Linked DNA regions of Drosophila melanogaster. The protein of the gene in region 1 purifies or fractionates together with the protein of each later gene. This does not show direct contact. Each region holds a gene or a part of one and is shown in the gene's direction. Other genes may lie near its edges. The genes, in order: kst, kibra, kirre and rst.

Region 1 (4,748 bases):
CTCCAGCTTAGCTGTTTTCTCTTTGAAATTGTTTGTTATTTTCTCTCGTTGATTTTAAAAAATTGTTTAGCATGCCAGGCACAAACAAAAGAATTTATATCACTGTGGGTTTCTACTTGTTGTGTTGTGTCAATCTGTATTCTTCTTTTCGACTGAGGCCAAAACTGAATTTTAATTTCCAGCCACTGATGAGGTAATTTTATGCGTAGAAATTTTTGACAACAAAGACCACCAATTCCCTAATTTGCCGAGCTATAGGTCTCATTATTTTCGGTTCAAAGCGGAGATGGCTGAAAAACTACGCTTTTATCAGACATATGCCATCACTCACGCAAAAGTAATTAAAATCGGTAACTACCTCGGATGTTATCTGAGTAGAAAAAGGTTGCCAAAAAAAGATGCCTAACTTCTTTTTGATATACTTTAAAGTATCATTTAATTCGGGATTTGCTAAATGATATGTGTGACTTAGCGTATGGGCCATAAAAATTAAGCATACAAAATGCTAAATGTTTATTGATTTATGCAAATTCTTACACAACTCCGAGGTTGTTGCACGCCTTGTTCATTAGCTAACCGTGTATGTGGAACACACAAGATCTAGAGAACACCGAAGAAGTTGAAAATCTATAAAAATCGTTTTCAAAGTGTTTGCGATGAGTGAAGTGTGGTGGTTTATAAATAGAAAGAGGCGCGGAATCCGAGTGTTCCTGCTCCCAGCTGCCGCGCATGTGCTGTGCTACCATGTTGTATCACAATTGAAGTAAACAGGATGCCCGGAATTCGAGCCTCGGTTCGCATTTGCCCCTGACTTTGCCTCTGCCGTCCTTTTCCGGCGACTTTAGTTGTATAAATAGTTTATGGCCAAAGACAGCTGTATGTGAGTTGGGGGATGCGTTCTATTTTGGGGATCAAGGAGGCACAGTTTTAATTGCTTTTCCTGCTAAGCCTAAAGTTATGCCGCACTCTGCATTTTCTAGGTTTTGTTTGCCACTCGATAATGATAAGCGTCGAACGTTATCGCGGTATGGTAAAGTTTATTGTCACACTGGTGTTGTTGGTTTTTTATTGTTTAGTTTTCACCTCTTTTTAATTGATTTTTCTATTTGCGAAAGCGAAGTGTTCTGTTTGCCAATTAGCCGCGAATGCCTTCCAGGTGACCTCAACGCCATTGGCGGCACATATGTATAGTAAATGATCTATTAGCGGAGTTATGACACCCGACCCGAGTAGACAGCAGATTATAACTCTTTGGCATGATGTCATTGGGAATGATCGAATTTGGCAGCTATTCTAAATGGCCCATTCATTAGTCTGCGGAATCTGATAGGGCGCCATAAATAACTTGATATTGGAAGTGCATTCCCCTCTATATATATGTATTTATTCCGAAAAACATATGTCCGAGGTATGCGGGATTTATGGACCGATAAGATAAGCCGACAGGGTCTATTGGCTGTTTGTCAAGGCAAGGATTTTCAGATACCTTAACCGTTTTCTCATACTGCTATCAGCTCGTGCGATAAAGGGAATTCACCATAGGCCAGTTGAAGCATTTTTGTTGCCACTCTTGGCATTTGGCTTTTAATTCATCTGATAAACAGAGCCAAGAGGGGGAGGAAGCTTTCCCCCACTCTACATTTTTGGGGCGTGCAAAATGTTGGGCACACATTGTTTTTAGTGACCAAACGGCGCGGGCTCTGCGAACATCTGACCGTAGGAACGAAACTTAGTGTCGAAATACAAAATAGAAATAAAAAACGAAAGATTAGCTTTAAGGAACGGCACTCGGTGCTGAAAGCCCGGATATCTTGAGAAACACCCTAGAAATCACTGATCAAAGGCCATGGAGTACAATAGTGTTCTGCGCTCGAATTTCTCGCGCAACGAGTATCGCCGATATATATCCTACGAACGCCAATCGTTGGGTAGGTTTCTGAACTTGAACTTTTCCCCTGGAAGCTCGCGATCATTATACAATCCCGAAACGAAAGTAACCTGCTCTTATCTATCTCAGTTGGGTGGAACTTCATATTTGGTTGATAAGAGCGCAAATATTTGGCAAATGAGTCAACGGCCTAGAAAAATGGTTTCGCTTTCTGCAGTTTCCGCTCCAATTTTGTTCACTTTTTAACATATTCTCTTGTCCAGTATTACGTAAAACGAACCGTTGATAAAAAAAAAGTAACAAAGTCGTGAAGCATTTTCCATAGGTATGAAGTAATTTTGGCAGTCGACAGATAAGCTCGCAGAACCACTATCGCTGGGCAGCGACTGTTTTGATTTCGATACGCTAGCTGGGGGTATATCTACTGGGTTGGAAAGTTGGTCACAGCTTGGTTTGTTTATAGTTGGTAGAGTTGAAATTATCTTACACTTGTTAGCAAAAGAAATTTAAAGATACCTTACTCTTTCATGAGGTAAAGTTACTTGAAATAAAGCAACAGATTGCTAATTTCTACATCTTAAAAATCTTTCACTATATTTTAAAATTCACTATCAAGCTTACTCAAAAAGGTGTTCACAATTTTGTTCAGCTAAGATCTAAATGTGAAACGCCAATCGACACATGGCTTATCTTAACGGGTCTAGAAAACAAAAGTACGTGATGAGGCGTTCGAATAAAAAGTGATTGTTGGTTCTTCGTTTGAAATACCCGTTGGTAATCTTTGACATTATGGGAACCCACTGATGGAATGATTTAAAATTAGGAATTACGTTTGACATAATCGAAAGACTACAAATAAACTGCCTTGGAATGTGGTTCTAACTTTAGCCAGGGATTTTTTTATAGAGGCAATTATGTTGGCGATAACTCGTTATCTCTAAATCAATAGGTTCGTACGTCACGGTCGTGCTTTCCCTATCTCTGCCACATACCTTTCGTATTTTTCCTCTATTTTCCCTATGCCCATTATTGATTTTGGTCTGTTGTCAGGTGGTTTGCCCATTTCTCTTTCCTGGAAAAAAATACAAAAAAAATGAAAAAAAATCAAAACAAACACTAAGCCTAAACGTTTCGCGTTGCATTTATATGACTTCGAACTAATCCGAGATTTTTGTTCCTCCTCCCTTCCCCCCACTTAGCATCACAATATGAGCCGGGAGGCTACTCCGCGCTGCAGACACCGACGCCTTCCAATCGCAACTCCGCCAACATGACCCAGCGGGACGGCATCATCAAGTTCGAGAACGAGCGGATCAAAACGCTGCAGGAGGAGCGCTTGCACATCCAGAAGAAGACATTCACAAAATGGATGAACTCGTTTCTGATCAAGGTGTGTAAACTACTTGAGTCACTCATCACTCCCAATACTTGTAATTTAATTACTATAAAGTACAAATGAAAGAAATGCTTTGTTTTGCTAAGCACATAAAGTTTTCATTGTTTAAATACTATAATTTCTCGATCAAAGTGATGTATTCAAATGAAAGCGCCATATGTATATGACATTCGAAATTATACATTCACTTGAAATTTTGATTGGAAGAAACTTTTATGGCCCCACCAATTTATGAATGCAACTCACATTTGGGCTTATCGTCTTCTTTGTAGGCCAAAATGGAGGTCGAAGACCTATTCACAGACCTGGCCGATGGCATCAAGCTGCTGAAGCTGCTGGAGATCATATCGTCGGAGAAACTGGGCAAGCCGAACAGCGGACGCATGCGCGTCCATAAAATCGAAAATGTCAACAAGAGTCTGGCATTCTTGCACACCAAGGTGAGATATGCCACATAAATGGCGGCGAGTGAAGGGAGTGAAGGCGTTGCAGTTGCTGGAAGACCAAAGACCGAAGACTGAAGACTGGAGAGTGTAAAGCTCTCTACGCATTTGTAGAAAGTGCAAGTCGCGCCTGCGCAGCTGCGCGTGGCCATTGCGTGCTTTGTTTGCCATATGAGGTGCACGGATCTGGCTGTTGGAGTCGGGATTTCGGATCTCGGGGAAGCGGGAAGTGTGAGGCGACGTCAAGACATGGCGAAAAAGTATATATTTAATTACCTAGCCTGGGCACCGCGTTTTCTTGGCAATATCTGAAATATTTGCATACTTTCTAATGCATTTTTTCCTTGACTTCACTTCACTTTGTTGCGCTTGGCACATTTTCCACTGCCGCGCTCATACTATACATGTGTACTTTCTTTGCACCTCTCGTGCGCATTTGATTTTAATTGAGCAAAGTGGGAGCTTAGCGTGCGACATAGTTTCGAATCTTCTGGCTAGTCAGGTGCCTCTGGTCTAATCTAATTAGAAGCAATTAAAACGCATCAAATTGTCCCACTGTCCAACTAATTCACTTTGTTTCTTAAGCGGCGAAGCAGTGAAAGTTTTCGGTTTTACTTTTCACCATTTCATTTCATTCCATTTCGTATTTCATTTGTTTTTCGGGCTTGTCTTTTGTGTGTGACACGGGTATTGAGTGCATTTTAATTGGTGTTTAGGCTTGAAAGAAGCCCGAGCGAAAGATTTACGCACAAGCGAGCATTCGATGGAGGATCCCTTGGGGACTCATTGAAGCGTTTAGCGGAGCACGACTCTTGGAATTTCCAGTCGCCATTAGGAGAACCAAAAGGCGTAGCTCCCTACTAAACATTAATGTACCAGAATAACTCGGAACGAGTCTATTAAAGCAAACGGTTTGTCGGGGAATAGGAATAAAGTTAGCTTACTGCCTTCTTATGAACTATTAAAAACGATAATCTGCCATACATAAATTATAAATGTATATATAATTTATGATTTTGAC
Region 2 (4,802 bases), on another chromosome or scaffold:
CACTAGAATGATACTCCATTCCAATTGGAGCTACAATAGTTTTCCTTAAACTCTATTCCCTATTATTATAACATTATTATTGCTATATTTTTCATAGATCAACATCTGGAGCCATCTGGCCGGTTGCATCCTGTTCATTGGACTGACCATCTTCGATCTGCAGTTCCTGCGCCTCCACGCCTCCCTGAGCGACCAGGTGCTGGTGGTCTGCCTGCTGGTCTGCTTCTGTCTGTGCATGCTGATGTCCGCCATATACCACATCTTCTCCTGCAAATCGGAGGAGCACTACGAGCTCTTTCTGTCCGTTGACTTCCTGGGCATTTCGCTGTCGCTGGTGGCCATCTATATCAGTGGCATGTACTATGCCTTCTGGTGCCACACCTTCCTGCGCACCCTGTACTCCACGATTGCACTGGGCATGTTCGCACTGGCCATTGCCGTGCAGATACCCCGTTTGAATGTGTCCATGAACGGCAAGGTGGCGGTGCTGCTACTCTGGTCTGCCTATGGAATCATACCTCTGGGCCACTGGGCGGTGGCCATGGGCGGTCTGGAGAACGAGCTAGTCAGGGTAGGCATCAGTTGGAAATTTATGGAATCTTGTCATTTGCTAATCCATCAATCATTACCATTTGCAGCTGATGGTGCCCCGCATCGTGCTCATGTACTTGCTCTGCCTCGTCGCCTTCGTTTTCTATGCGGCCAAGATTCCGGAGCGCTGGTTCACCGGCAAGGTGGACTTCGTTGGGCATTCGCACAACTGGTGGCACCTGATCATCGTGGCCGCCTTCTATCACTGGCACAACACCGGACTGGTCTATGCCGAGTATCGCCTGAATAACGGATGCACTGCACCAGTTCTCTCCTAGAACTTGAAGATCCGAACATCTGAGTTAAGATCCGAAGATCCGAGGAGCGGAGATGGAATCCGGGACTCTAGTAGACTAAAGCTTAGTGTAAATAGTTTATGGGGCGCTCTTTATCCGCTAATAACTAATATTTAGTTGTAGTTGTTGACCGATATGATTAATTTATGTTTAATTTACCAATTAGTTAGGGTTTCGTGTTAGACAATCCAGATCCAGATAGTTGGCATCGCATAAGCGGCAAAAAGGTTTCTCTCTTTATATCCTAATTGATTTCCTTTAATATATACAATTAAACAATGTCAATGAAATTGCATGTGTCTTGAGCTGAAGCTGTGTTAGTCTTGTTGACTCAATTTTTACAATTCATAAAATGCAAATACAATATCAAACGTACAAAGCAAGCGAAATTGTGGTTTTATTGAAGTTATGTTTCGGAAACATAATTTATTTTTCTATCTATGGTTGGGATACATATTGATTTCGAAATGCGTAACTCAGTTTACAGTCTTTTTTTTTAAATTTTTTCTTTTTCTGTTTTTAAAATGTAACGGAAATGTTAGGATTAAGATAACAGTAATTGTTAACAGAGCGAGTTAACATGATCTATCGGAACTGGCTTTGATTAACATCGCTTGAAGAACCGAACTAGTTCCTGTTACCAAGCCGATCTTTGAACGTACAACTCCTATTTTCTTCCCTCAACAATTACACCTATGCTTGGGGACTACACAAGCCAAATAACAATAAATACTTTTCGTGCATGATTGTTAAATATCGCATCTCTGCAACCGCGTCAATACAGCCTATAATATCGATATCAACCAATACATCGAATAACATCGCCGCGAGTGTATCGATATGCAATGCGATGTTTTCTGCTACACCACTAGCAGCGAATGTTACCAAAACAAATTCCGAATCCGAATCGGACGGTCATCAAGCGCGCTACTCGTGTTTTTTGCTGCTCCCCCAAGGAATTCCGGAACCGAAGAGATCGGCGACGGCGCGAACTCACTAAACTGAAGTACATATTTTTTTGTGAACACCAAGTGGATGGTTGGATTATCGTCGTTAATTAGTTTCAATTAGGCGAAAATAAGAAAATAAGTAAAGGAGTTCAAACGCTTGCAACAACAAGAAATGAAAAGAAGCAGCACCAACTGTGAGCAGTGATCGTGTGCGCTTGTGTTCGTCCCCCATATGTGTGCGTGTGTTTGAGCTGGAATGGAATGCAGTTACGAAAAAAGTAAATAAATAATTGAGAGCGCGCCCGCGCTCTCCCGCTCTCTCTCCCCTGCGCGCGTGTGTATTCGAGTTGGCTCGGTGTGTGCCTCTACGCCCGTCACCGTGTGGCCGTGTTGTGTGTGTGTGTGTGCGGGTCGGTCTCCATTATCGCCGGAGCAAAAGAAACGGAATTGAAATGTCTTTGCTAATGTAAACAGCGCAAAGAGAAACCCCCCGAAAAAAGAAGCAAACGTAGATAGCAATAGCGAAAAGAAAGAAAAGGCGCGCGTCGGGTGAAAAATCCAGCAACAACGACGTTTTCTCAGACTAACCAAAGTACACGGCGAGAAACAAAGTTAAAATGCCGAATCTGCAACAAACCGCATCGCAATCGCAGCATCATCTGCATCCCCACCACCTGCGACCCCAACAGCAGCAACAGCAACATCATCATCATCATCAACAACAGCAACAACAACAACACACGCATCATCAGCAGCAGCAACAACACCACAGCGACTTCCCACTTCCCGATGGCTGGGATATCGCCAAGGATTTCGATGGCAAGACCTATTACATAGATCATATCAACAAGAAGACCACCTGGCTGGATCCCAGAGATTGGTAAGTGTTCCGGAAAGGGTCAATTAAAGAAACGAAATTGAAACAAGGGCGATCTGAAATATAATTATAAGATATTTGCATTTGGAAAGTTAGTTTAAACTTATTAAAACTACTAGAACAATTATCAGAAATGAGGCATACATAACGAATGACCAAACCAACAGGTTGTGTTTTAAATAAGTTATAGATGCTTTAACATCGCAAACTATCAAGAGTGCTTATAAACCCCAATTGCTGCTTAATGGCTAATAAGTGAAGCAGATAACTCATTGAGAATCAAATTAAAATAGAATAAAATTCTTGGCAAGTTGTTAGTGGCTTAAGAAGGCATAAAACGCAGGTGAGAGATCAGCAGTTCACTCATTCAGGAAGCTCCGGCAAACGAGCTAAAAAAAAAACCCATATAAATTCCGATTCCGAAGCGCTCTTGAACCGGAAAGAAAAGGTGCGTGCTGCAGCTGTGTGTGTAAAGGAATGCGATCGGTGGAGGCGAAATGAAGCAAAAAAAAAAAAGAAAAATAAAAGGAAAATAAAATAAAGAGGCAGCAGCAAAATAAATTACATATTTTAAACAAGACAGCAGCGGCAGCAGGCAAAACAAAACGCAACGGAACGGGGGAAAAACTTGGAGTAAACATTCCGATGCGATGATTAAGACTCCGAATATAACTGAACTGAACAGAGAGTGGCAACAAACAAAAAATGGATTGTAAAGCCAGGGAAATACAACAACAAAAATTCGAGTGAGAGAGAGCAAAAGTTAAATAAAGCTCGGCGAATGATCTGTAAAATAAAAGGAAAACAAAACCAACAAACTCATACGTAATGAGTGCGAGAGAGCCAAAGGAGAGCGAGCGAGAGCGCTGGCGATCAGGCCATGTATCTCATAGATACATTTTAGTTTGCCGTTCGCTCACATTTTTTGTCTTCCATCTCGCTCGCGCCCCTCGCTGCCGCCCCACTCGCCATCTCTGTCTGTTGCTTTGCCCATAAACAATTGCAAAATGTACGTAGGAATTTTTGCAGTTTCGAAATAATTGATTTCTGAAATTCTTCGCCCTCTCTTTCGCTGAGTTCAATTTTTCGCTTTTCACAGATAGAGAAATGTGTAGTGTTAGATGGATTTTGTATCTTCAATTGCTCGATAGCAAATGCTTATTGCCTTTCTGCAGTTGTACAGCATTTTCATTGACATTAGACACACTCTATAATTTCAATATCACGTTGCAAATGATTTATTAAGCCATCAAAGCTTGAATATTAATTTTTTCCAGTGCATTTCTATCTGTGTACGCCTTATTGTTTCAGTTCGTTTGGTGCTGTGTGCGCTTCACGCTTTCAATTAACACAAACATTCCCTTTGTTTGTTTCAAATCGCATGGACATTGTTGAAAATGTTTCACTGAATTAAGCGTTGTGGAATTTCAGCTCTTCCGCCCGCCCGCCTTTGAAATTGAAACGAAACATCTGCGCATTTGCTAGGGTTATGCATCAAGTAGATTATAAATGCACACATGTCGTTCAAATGTCTGCCAGTGGGCACAAAAAGTCAGCGATCTATGAGCGTTACGTTCCGATTTCGGGGTTATAGAAATTTAAAGCTTAAATGACCTTAGGGGATTTACTTACTATTTGAAAAACCAATCAGATTATGAAGAGGGATACCATAGAATATAAGAAATAAAAACAAGAGTAAATGTTTTATTGGTATTTTCTGTATACATCTGCAAAGTATGTCTTCGAATTTAACTAACTATTCCATATTTTTCCAAAATAGTTTTACCATTTCTATTGACCAAACAAAACTATTTAATGCTGTATACACCCCTTATTGGTATTTTGCCCAGTCGCGCATATTTTGTATCCAAATCATATACGCTTTTTGGTCCCCTCTTCGGCTGTCTATCGATCCCCCGCATCCAACTTGCTATTGCTATTGAATTTTCAAAATTGCTGCCGGTAGCGCGCAAAAATTCCAATAAACCATAAATAAATTTCTACAATAAAGCGAAGCGAGCCAGGCCTCGGGCAACCTTTAAAGGCCTCGCCACGTTTCGAGCACAGCCAACAGAAATCACAGAAAAA
Region 3 (4,906 bases), on another chromosome or scaffold:
TGAACTAACCGTTATCTTATTTACATATTAAATTTAATAAAAATATACAAAATCCACACGAAACAAACAAACTAATGATTTAAAGGGACTCAGAATAGAGCACGCTCTCAATAGCATAAGCTTTTATTGATTTCCTTTACCTGTTGATTAATTGCAAAAATTCTTCTTGAGGTTTTAAAGTTTATTTTCTTACGTATAAATTTTAAAAATAGGCCAAAAAAATAAAGTTTCTCGCGTGCATCACAAATAAATACCAACAAGGAGTAATACTAGCAACACGGCTGCGAGTATCACGATGAGCATTATCTTTTTCTGCAAATACAAGGGAAAATGCCTTTTAGAACCCAACGCTCTCGGGGATTCGCAGTGTGCCCACCTTGCGCGCCTTCTTCTGGTGCTGCTCCGCCTGGTCCAGCTCGTCGGCGCCCTTGTCCACGTGGAGCGTGGCCTGCTGGGCGTGAAACTCCACCCGCTGGATCACCTCGCTCTGCTCCATTACCAGGGTCTGGATGCGCATGAACAGGGCGTGCACCTCCTCGATGGACTTCTCCAGGCGGCGCAGCTCGTTGAATCGATCCATCATTTCGCGCAGTGTCTGCCGCTCCTTTTCCGTTTCCTGCAGAAACTAAAAATACAAAAATTGTTATTATAAAGATTAAGCAAATGTCTACATTTATTTACTATTTGCAATACAAATACCTTTTGATCTTTACATTTTGTGTTAAATTGAAGGTTAATTAACAGAGAATGTTAGAAAGGGCGGGTGAAGATCTTATTTTATTGATTTACCGTTGGTCCTTGATCGTTTTCTCTTCAAGTCTTCCTCTTCCCTTTTTCTCAGCCACATCCAAATACGCACGTGATTTTTAATTGTGCGTCGCGAAATGAGGTTTGTTGTATTTAACATGGTTTAGATGTAAATGTAAGTATCGGCATTGTGATACGAAGCATTTGCGCGCTTTTTCTTTCTAAGTTCGCGGTAATTTGGCGTTTTCAATGGCGCGCGAAATATGTTTGTGTGTATAGAATGTGCGCGCTAAAATCCGCATTTACATATGTATGTATGAACATACACAATGTGTGTGTTGCGCTAAATAAGCTTCCACTTTTTTTTTATGGTGAACCACTGAGTTTCTATTATATATATAAATATGTATAGCTTAGCTATACGGCTAATGTAATTAATCTATGTACGTGATAATCTGTATTGCAGAACATAATGCTTTATTTAACATCCTCATTAACTAATAGATGATGTTAAAACAACAGCGGCAAACAGAGAGAGTGCATATGAGTTTGATTTACCGTTGGCCCTTGATCATTCCCTGTTTAAATCTTCCTCATTCCTTCTTCTTCCCGAGCATCGACATACGCACGTGTTTTTTAACTGCGCGCCGCGAAATAAAGTTTATTGAATTCAACGATCTTTAGATGGTGAAAAGTGTTACTTGAGTAAATGCGAGTATGCGCATTGTGATGCGAAGCATTTGCGCGTTTTTCTTCCTAAATTCGCTGTAATTTTGCGTTTTCAATGGCGCGCGAAATATGTTTGTATGTATAGAATGTGTGTGCTAACATCTATTTACACATGTATGTAATGTAATGTGTGTGTTGCGGTAAATTAGCTTCCACTTCTTTTTTTATATTTTTTGATGGTGAACCACTGAGTTTGAAAATATATTCTATTCAATATAAAAATGTATAGCCTAACCACTCAACCAATATAATTAATCAACGTATGTGATAATCTGTATTGCAGAACATAATGCCTTATTTAACAGCCTCATTAACTAATAGATGATGTTAATACAACAGCGGGAAACAGAGAGAGTATGTATGAGTTTGATTTACCGTTGGCCCTTGATCATTCCCTGTTTAAACTTCCTCTTTCCTTCTTCTTCGTGAGCATCGACATACGCACGTGTTTTTTAACTGCGCACCGCGAAATTAAGTTTATTGAATTTACCGTTGTTTAGTGCTGTTACTCGAGTAAATGCGAGTATAGGCATTGTGATACGAAGCATTTTTTTTCCTAAATTCGCGGTAATTTTGCGTTTGAGCAAAATAATTTCATACATATGTATGTATGTATGAAGGTGTGTGGGTGTTACACCAAATGAGCTTCAGTGTTTTTTTTTTCATTTTTTTTATGGTGTTCCAGTGTTGAAAAAGTTGCGAAAGTGATTATATCCTATTAGCTATTAAAATCCCAAATTTTTTTTTTTTCTGTGTAAAGCTTTACTTAAAGTGATATGAAAATGATCGTCTCGCAAATTATAGATGCGATAAAGTCAAATGAAATGAAAAATGAATACAACATCGAGGTGAGTTGCGCTCTACTGAGTAATATTTAGTAGCTAATAGTCCTAGATTGTATAAAATGTCATTTAAACTACATACTAAATGCCGAACATATTAAAATATATATGTTTATGAAACCTTTGATAAGGAATCATATCAGACAGAAGACTTAGTTGTTTGTATAATTCTTTCTTTACTCACATTATCCACAAAGAGTTTGGTTGTCTTGTTCTCGATGAGTAACTCGATTTCTTGTTCGCTGGCTTCAGAATTAACTAAAAAGTAGATTGTAACGAAGTTCTTAAACAAAATAATGTAATAGTTGCAAAGCATTTAATCAGACTCGTCCATTTTGTATCACACTTACTGATTTTTGTATGCAGTCTCAGATTCTTTTTGACCTTGGTCTCGTAGTTCTGCAGGAATAGTTCGTTTTTGTGCCACAGATTGATGAAAGTCTGGTGGAGTCCATAGAAAAGGGTTCTTTTCATCCTTGCCTCCAAGCTGTAATCGTTTTCCGCCGGCAGATTCGCCTTGAAGTCGTTGAATCGCGTCATTAGCTGATTGCCCAGCCTCAGGTTTTTGTTGTGAAGCTCATCCATCTCGTTCTCTGTGCGAATTGGATTTAGACCGTGATGCAGTGGAAGTATTCACAACTTTAGATTCAAATTCTTACCGTTGAAAGTTCGCAGATTGACAGTTTGGGCCATGCGGTTCATCGTCTCCAAGTTGGCGGCTATCTGTGCGAGTTGTTGGCGAATCTCCGTGTACTGAAAAGGAAGGATACCGTAAAAATCTATTAAAATCGTATATTCACTTCCATTGCATTTCCAGTACATTTCCTTGCTCAGGAGGAAGCAGTGCTTGTATTGCTTTTTTGCTTTGCAAGAGTTGTCTACCGTTGTTTACGTTTACATGGCGACTACTTGCCTTCTCTTCGTCCGCTCTCTTAACCACAATAAAAAACGTATTTAATGAGAAAATGTTTTTTTTTTTTTCTGGACTTATCACGAGTTTTCGCGCTACGCCGGCAGCGATTGAGTAATACAGCTGATTCATAAGTGCACACATGTGTGGGTAAGCCATAAAAAAGAAAAAAAGGGTTTCCCTCTCTCCGGCTCTCTGATCTTTTATTTCCATTGAGGGGAAACGTTTAACTATGCTAGATATTAGCTGCTTTCTGTTGTATGTTCTTGCTTCGCTAAGTATTTATAACTTTCAAGATAGCTATCTTAGGAGTTAAAGTTTCTTCTATTAACTATTTCAATACTCAATAATAGTAAAAACTTGTATGAATTCTGAAGTTGTGTTTTGTATACACTTCGATCCTTAAACTCACCGGATTGAGTATGTCATCCACATTCGAGCCATACTGCGTCATCTTTGAACTGGACCGATCCTTGGGTTCGGTGCTGCTGTTATTGTTGCTGCAGCTGTGAGAGTTTTGGCTAACGACACTGTAGCTATTATTGTTACCGCCGGTGTTGCCAATGATGAACTCCGTGGTTCCACTGTACACGTTCAAAAGCAGTGAACCGTTCGACGACGAGTTCGACGAGTTCGTGCTCAATGAGCGCTGGAATTAGTACAGCAAAAATGAGAAGAAAAAAAAATAAATAAATAAAAATAAAATAGGTCCATGCGATCCTAACGAACTGCAGGGAAAAACTGAGAAAAAACTAAATTGAAACTAACAACTTTGGTTGAGTTTATTTACGTTTGTGTGTTCACAATCTGGCGCGGTGTAAATGAACTATAAAAATGACTTCGGTACTGAAATTCACTTGGTGCTAAAAGTTTGTCGGCGGAAACGCGGGGTTGCCCCGTAAGTGTGATGTGTGGCCACATTATCGTCGTTATCTCTGGCCGATCTGATAAATGCCATAGCGAACACCCACCAAACCCCCTTGGCTCACAAGTCGAAATAGTGCCAAAAGCGCCAACAGAAATGTGAGAGATTGGGCCAATTGTAAAGAAGGTGGCAGCACCTTGGTCAGAATGTGTTTCAACGTGCCGCAAAAAAAAAAAAAACTTTGATTAGGATTACTTTTTACCGAGAAAAGTGGAATCCTTTTCCTGGCAAATACCACCAAATGTATTTCATCGTGTTAAGTAGATTTTATTCGTATTGCGGTTTGAGTGATGCCAAACCACTGTGCTTCAAACTAATTAGCAGTTACCTCATCCCAACCTCCCAACCAACCACCCACGTTTCTAATATTTTCTTACCTGCAAAAGCTCGGGCAGTCGATCTTTACCCATTTCTGCAACTTGGACTGCCTTTGGTTTGAATTATGCCAATTATATGCCAAATTTATGCCAATTCCTTGAATTCCTTTCCAGTACTCCAAAATGTCCACTTTATATCCTTTACAGCAGCTTCTGAGCTTTGTTCCTGGTTTGTTGTTGCCGTTGCCTCCAACAGCTGTTCGCGAATGGGAAAATTTGATTGAGAGCGCAGGAGAGAGCGAAACCTGCTATCAAAGCTTATCAGCGCACAAGTTTCTGATAAGAGCCGCCTAATATTTACCGTCTGCCCTTCGGAAAGCGACAGGGCGGGGTGGAAAGTCATGGAGAGAGAGAGAGAGAGAGAGAGGGACAGTCA
Region 4 (4,892 bases), on another chromosome or scaffold:
AGCTATCTGAAATATTTAAGGACAAAACTTGTGCATGCATTTCGATTTTATTGGTAATATAGTGTTTCAAAATGCTGCAACAGAAATCCTATCTTGCGAATGGAATTTATGGGATCTGGCTATGAACCTTCTTATCGAGAAAGGCTTTTTGTTATAGTTTGTTGGGGTGTTTATAAACAATTTTGGACTACGCATATGTAGAGGAAATGCCCTGACTATGCAACAACGTTCGCCTTATCTTTCGTCTTTGTGTAAATTTAGAGCGCAATGCATTGATATTCCCATACGGCGGCCATAAATTACATGACAATTACTTGGGGAGCCGAAGAAAATCAGCGGTGCTTGGAAAATCCCCCCTCGAAAAGGCAAGCAATGCGTGGAAAGAGGCGCGAAGAGAGAGCGGAAAATTGGAAGAGAGCCGACACTTCATCACTCGCTCCGAATTTTCCGATTTTCCGGCGGTGCCTCCCTCACACGCGTAGTTTAAATTGCGTTCGCAGCAATCGTGCCATAAATTTCCCTTCCGAAACTTGTTTATTTTGGTCTTGCATGTCTCCAGTGCCGAAATCTTCCCATCCAACAGTCCATCTTCATCGCTGGTAGTATCTTTGTATCTTTTGTATCTCCCTATCTCTCGTGGAGCGCACAGCTTGTGTATCGATTCAATTATGGGAAAACTTAGAATCAACTCATCATGCAGTCGATTGATTAACAAGTCGCACCTAGTAAAATGGCTCCCACAGTGTTTGAGTTTTCAGCTGAGCTTGGCTTTACTACAAGTGTGACATTTGAAATGTTCTTAAGCCAACTAAAATTATGCATGCAGCAAAAAGCGCAGGAATGTTGGCACTTCAAAAAAGGGCTGCTTAATGTAAAAATTAAGCTAATTTAATGATAAATTAATAGCTTCTTTTTGAAAATCATGTTAAACACTTCTCTGTGTGGTTCCCATGGGATTTCCGCCGTTTTGTCAAGCCACAGATTTGGACTTTTTACTCAAATTGCTCTGTAGAGGACCATATGTCGCTCTTCACAGCCCTTCTGGCATTCCACAATCGGAAGAAAGACTGCAGATTTCTACCAAAACGGGAAGAATTGTGGGTGCGAAGAAGGAGGAGAGATTGGTGAACAGCTGCTGTCCCGACAGCATTGACCTCTTGACGGCCAATTCTCCTACTTTATCTCAATCTGCAGTGTTTAAAGGGTTTATACTTTATGTGATCTTTTTTTTTTTGTTTTTTATCTTCTCCGGCAACAGTTGGTGGTCCACACTTTTGGCGGAAGGTGGCGCTGCTAACAGCAAATCAGAGTGCAATTAAGGCCAAAAGACAGATGGCCAAAAATCGTGGCACATCGGCTGGCAATATCCCCAAATTTGCGTGCACAGAAACAAAAAAGATATGTATAGCGAACACTAAATTGATTCGTATAAATAATTTATAATATTTTTTAATATAATTTATACATTGCATCTGAAAACTTATAGTAAATATATGATATGAAAACATATATCCCATATATATGGGAATTTAAAAAAACATTGGCTGCCAAACATAATCCAAATGAATAACAACATAGAACAGAGGTTGCATCGAGCCGCGCTGTTAGCCCTGTTGCATGCTGTTAGAGCCTGAAACACCACTTGCAACATCATCGAACATGTTGCGTCGCTTTGTTTTGTTTGAAGACAAGCCGCGCCGGCCGAAGAAGTCGGATTTTTGGATCGAGTTCGCACTTCGTTCCGTTCGCTCGTACCGTTCGCTTCGTAGCGGCGGAAACTCCGTACTTTCGATAGCTGGTATCTCACAGATACTTTTCGAGACCCCGAAGACGAGAACTCGCATCGCATATTCGCCCGAGAAAACTCTCAGTAAATCTCAGATAATTAAAACGAAATATATAACTAAACGTCAATTTTTTTTTTGGTGCAAACGCAAGCCAAAAAATTTCATTTTGGTGTGGATTACCAGTGGAAAAGTGTGTGCTTAAAATGGAATAAACAAGGCTATCATAAAAACAAAGCCCGAAAAACCAAACAAGCTGAAAATTGTCAACCCAACAATTATGGATTAGTGCCAGTGGCCGGTCAGAGTCAGTTAAAAATATATATGCATATAAGAGGACTAAGGAGCCGAAATTGTTTAAATTGATTACAAACAAACAGTGTGAGTAAAAAAGTTCATCAGTAAAATCTAAAGAAAACTCCTGTGCTTTTGGCTTTTTTCATGCGCCAACTGCAACAGCTGCTCCCTCACTTTGACCTTTTCGTTTGATTTTGTTTATAATATACTGTTACTGGCCAAGTCTCCGCCTCTTTTGGCCCCTCAAAAGTTTCGCTTTTGGCCACTTTGGCATTTGGATTTCGAGTTTGCTTGAGTGTATTTTTTTTTTTTTCGAAGAAAATATATGTGTTTTTAATTGAAAATGGAAGCATGATTTTTGGTTGTAAGTAGACTTTGTTAAAGCAAAATTTATATTTTCCTTTCTGCCTAATGAAATGCCCAATGGCAAGTACTAGTTGCTGAAAATATTAAAATGTAATAAAATATAAAATAAATTAAATTACCATCTTTCGAATAACGTTTAGATCTTATCAATCTGAAAATGAGGTTTATTATACAAAATCTATGTTAAGTTGTATATCACAGATATACTTTCCCCTCTACAATAATAGATCTTCAACTCCAGACCTTGGACACCTAATTAGCTTCTTCTGACCATTCCATCCCTCTGAGCATCTATAGAAAAAAGTGCTCTTCTTAACTGATTCGATCTCTTCTTTCCTTGGTTTTGCATGATTTATGATTTAAAGCAATAACTTTGAAAAACAAAATGTACAAAGCTAGTCAACGATTAGGCATTTCGTAAGCACTTAAGTTGAAAAATTAATATTAAATGTATAGAATGATTTTTTGTTCGTATACAAGTATGTACACAAACAAAAAATCTACTTGAATATATGCTAAACAATGCTAAAATCATTCTGAATAATTTACGGCAAACGATAAACTTTAATGAGTATAACATTCAACTTCAAGTTTTAATCTACATAATAGGCAATGTATATTAAATGTGCGCTTTGGTGTAATTCTTTAATGCGTATATTTATTTATAACATTCGAATGGTATACCTATTTCAATGGTTTATTTCTGACATTTATGGATTAATTCATTTGGTTTTAAGTAAATAAATTTGCAAATACATTTAATTCCTTTTGTCATTGATTAAGTGAAATGCCAGTAATTCGACTCTCTTATTGACACATTCAAAAATCATAAATCAATTATTCCAAATCCAATAGAAATTTATTTATTACTCATAAAATTTTTCTCTGTGTAACTCCCCCCAGCTGTAAGCGAAGAAAATGTTGCTAGCGGCTGTGGTGTTAAAGAACAGAAATGCGAGCTAAAGAAGCTGAAGGCCCAGAAGCTTTACCAATACATCGATACATTGCACACAGATACTCAAACATCTGCAAATGCATATACAAGCGTATCTTCAGACTCACGCACCTGTCCCTTGTCATTAAAAAAGCAAGCAAAGTTTCAATCTTCTTTGGCAAGCTAACCTTTTACTTACTCTGCTCCATCCTCTGGGTTCATATATGTCGCATGATAAACACCGGAAAAATATTGATTGGCTGGGAGATTTGCTAAAGCACGATTAAGAAAACTAGTCTCAAAAAAAGTTAGTCTTTGACCAGAAAAAGTATTTGTTCTTTTTTTTTTTAATTGAAATTAACTTATTTTCATACTTATTTATCTTGATTGAAGCTCCTATAAATTCATTTTGAATAACGTTATTAAGTTTTTTGGTTTGAAAACAAAAAGAAAAAATATTTTTAAAGTGTATTTGGGAACGTGTGTGTAGCTTTTGGATTTTATAATTTGGCCCAATTTGCTGGCATTGCAAATTGCTAAAAACGTCTGAAACAATCGACAGGAGGAAATTGGGGAGTGTGGGAAAAGGATGGCAAAAGAGGCGTTCGGTAGGCGTGGCAGGAAGTGCAACATGCTCATGTCGCAAGTTGTTGCTGCCGCCTGTATTTCTCCTGCACTTTTTGTTGCTGTGTTATCGATTGGCGAGGCCGCATTTGTTGGATCGTTTTGACGCGTCCTCGTCAGCATGTCGAAACTTATTTTTCCTTTTCAATTTCGCCCTGCGATTTTGCATTTTTTTTGTTTTTTTTTTTTCGCCTGCCTGTCGCTTTGTTAGTTCTTTGCATGCCACAAATTATGTTCGTCACCCCCTTTTGCCCCACCGCGCTGGATGGATTACCTTGAGAGCGGAGCTGTCAGGCTTTTTGACAGTTTCTGCCGTATCGGTTCCACCGATTTGACTGCTGCGCTCATCCGTTTTGCCTGTTTTTTTTTTTTGTTTAAGAAAGTGCTTCGTTTAATGAATAATTGGTATTTTATATCATTTAGGTACAATAAGAAAAGACTTATTGCCTGGTATTTGCATCTGCCAGCTAATTTCTCATCTCATCTCTAAAAAGAAATGCAGACGAGGGCATTCGAAAGGCAAGCAATTTATCCCTTGGTTAATTTGGTTAATTGAAGACAATTGAGGGCCGCTTTGCAGTTCATTAAGCCTCATCAGCGTTGAGAAATGGGGCCCAGAATCCAGAAGTCCAGAAGTCCGAATCCCAGATCCAGTTCCATCTATACTTTCCATTTCCAGATCTGTTGTCTTGTCGCCAGACTAATTAAAATATTTGCACTCAAATGCTTAAGCAATAAATATTTGTCAAGCCATCATCATTAGGAGGAGGCTATAAGGGGGGGGGGTTCTGACCTCAAAACATGGCACTCCACTTTCTGGGGTGGGGGCAAAATGGAAATGGAAAATGAAAATCTATGAGAGGCGGCATTTTTAAAGTGCGCCACTT

Evidence for each region.
Region 2: the proteins of kst (region 1) and kibra purify together in Drosophila melanogaster (affinity purification with western blotting, with the first as the bait; one study listed by BioGRID). This does not show direct contact.
Region 3: the proteins of kst (region 1) and kirre purify together in Drosophila melanogaster (affinity purification with western blotting, with the first as the bait; one study listed by BioGRID). This does not show direct contact.
Region 4: the proteins of kst (region 1) and rst purify together in Drosophila melanogaster (affinity purification with western blotting, with the first as the bait; one study listed by BioGRID). This does not show direct contact.

The regions. Positions count from the first base shown.
Region 1 is NT_037436.4:3,348,409-3,353,156, forward strand, and holds the start of kst (karst), read left to right. Parts: upstream 1-1,699; 5' UTR 1,700-1,846; coding exon 1,847-1,928; intron 1,929-3,087; coding exon 3,088-3,278; intron 3,279-3,556; coding exon 3,557-3,724; intron 3,725-4,748.
Region 2 is NT_033777.3:14,721,226-14,726,027, reverse strand, and holds the start of kibra (kibra), read left to right. Parts: upstream 1-1,766; 5' UTR 1,767-2,454; coding exon 2,455-2,717; intron 2,718-4,802. Other genes in the region: CG7530 (uncharacterized protein), read left to right, coding at 98-571, 639-869. UniProt on the Drosophila melanogaster protein: Regulator of the Hippo/SWH (Sav/Wts/Hpo) signaling pathway, a signaling pathway that plays a pivotal role in organ size control and tumor suppression by restricting proliferation and promoting apoptosis.
Region 3 is NC_004354.4:2,738,921-2,743,826, forward strand, and holds the start of kirre (kin of irre), read left to right. Parts: upstream 1-1,884; 5' UTR 1,885-2,084; intron 2,085-2,236; 5' UTR 2,237-2,324; intron 2,325-2,502; coding exon of another isoform or gene 2,503-2,576; intron 2,577-2,668; coding exon of another isoform or gene 2,669-2,911; intron 2,912-2,977; coding exon of another isoform or gene 2,978-3,071; intron 3,072-3,640; coding exon of another isoform or gene 3,641-3,877; intron 3,878-3,996; exon of another isoform or gene 3,997-4,038; intron 4,039-4,530; coding exon of another isoform or gene 4,531-4,563; exon of another isoform or gene 4,564-4,906. Other genes in the region: Syx4 (syntaxin 4), read right to left, coding at 241-312, 377-625, 2,503-2,576, 2,669-2,911, 2,978-3,071, 3,641-3,877, 4,531-4,563.
Region 4 is NC_004354.4:2,970,674-2,975,565, reverse strand, and holds the start of rst (roughest), read left to right. Parts: upstream 1-1,731; 5' UTR 1,732-2,165; intron 2,166-4,892. UniProt on the Drosophila melanogaster protein: Required for correct axonal pathway formation in the optic lobe and for programmed cell death in the developing retina.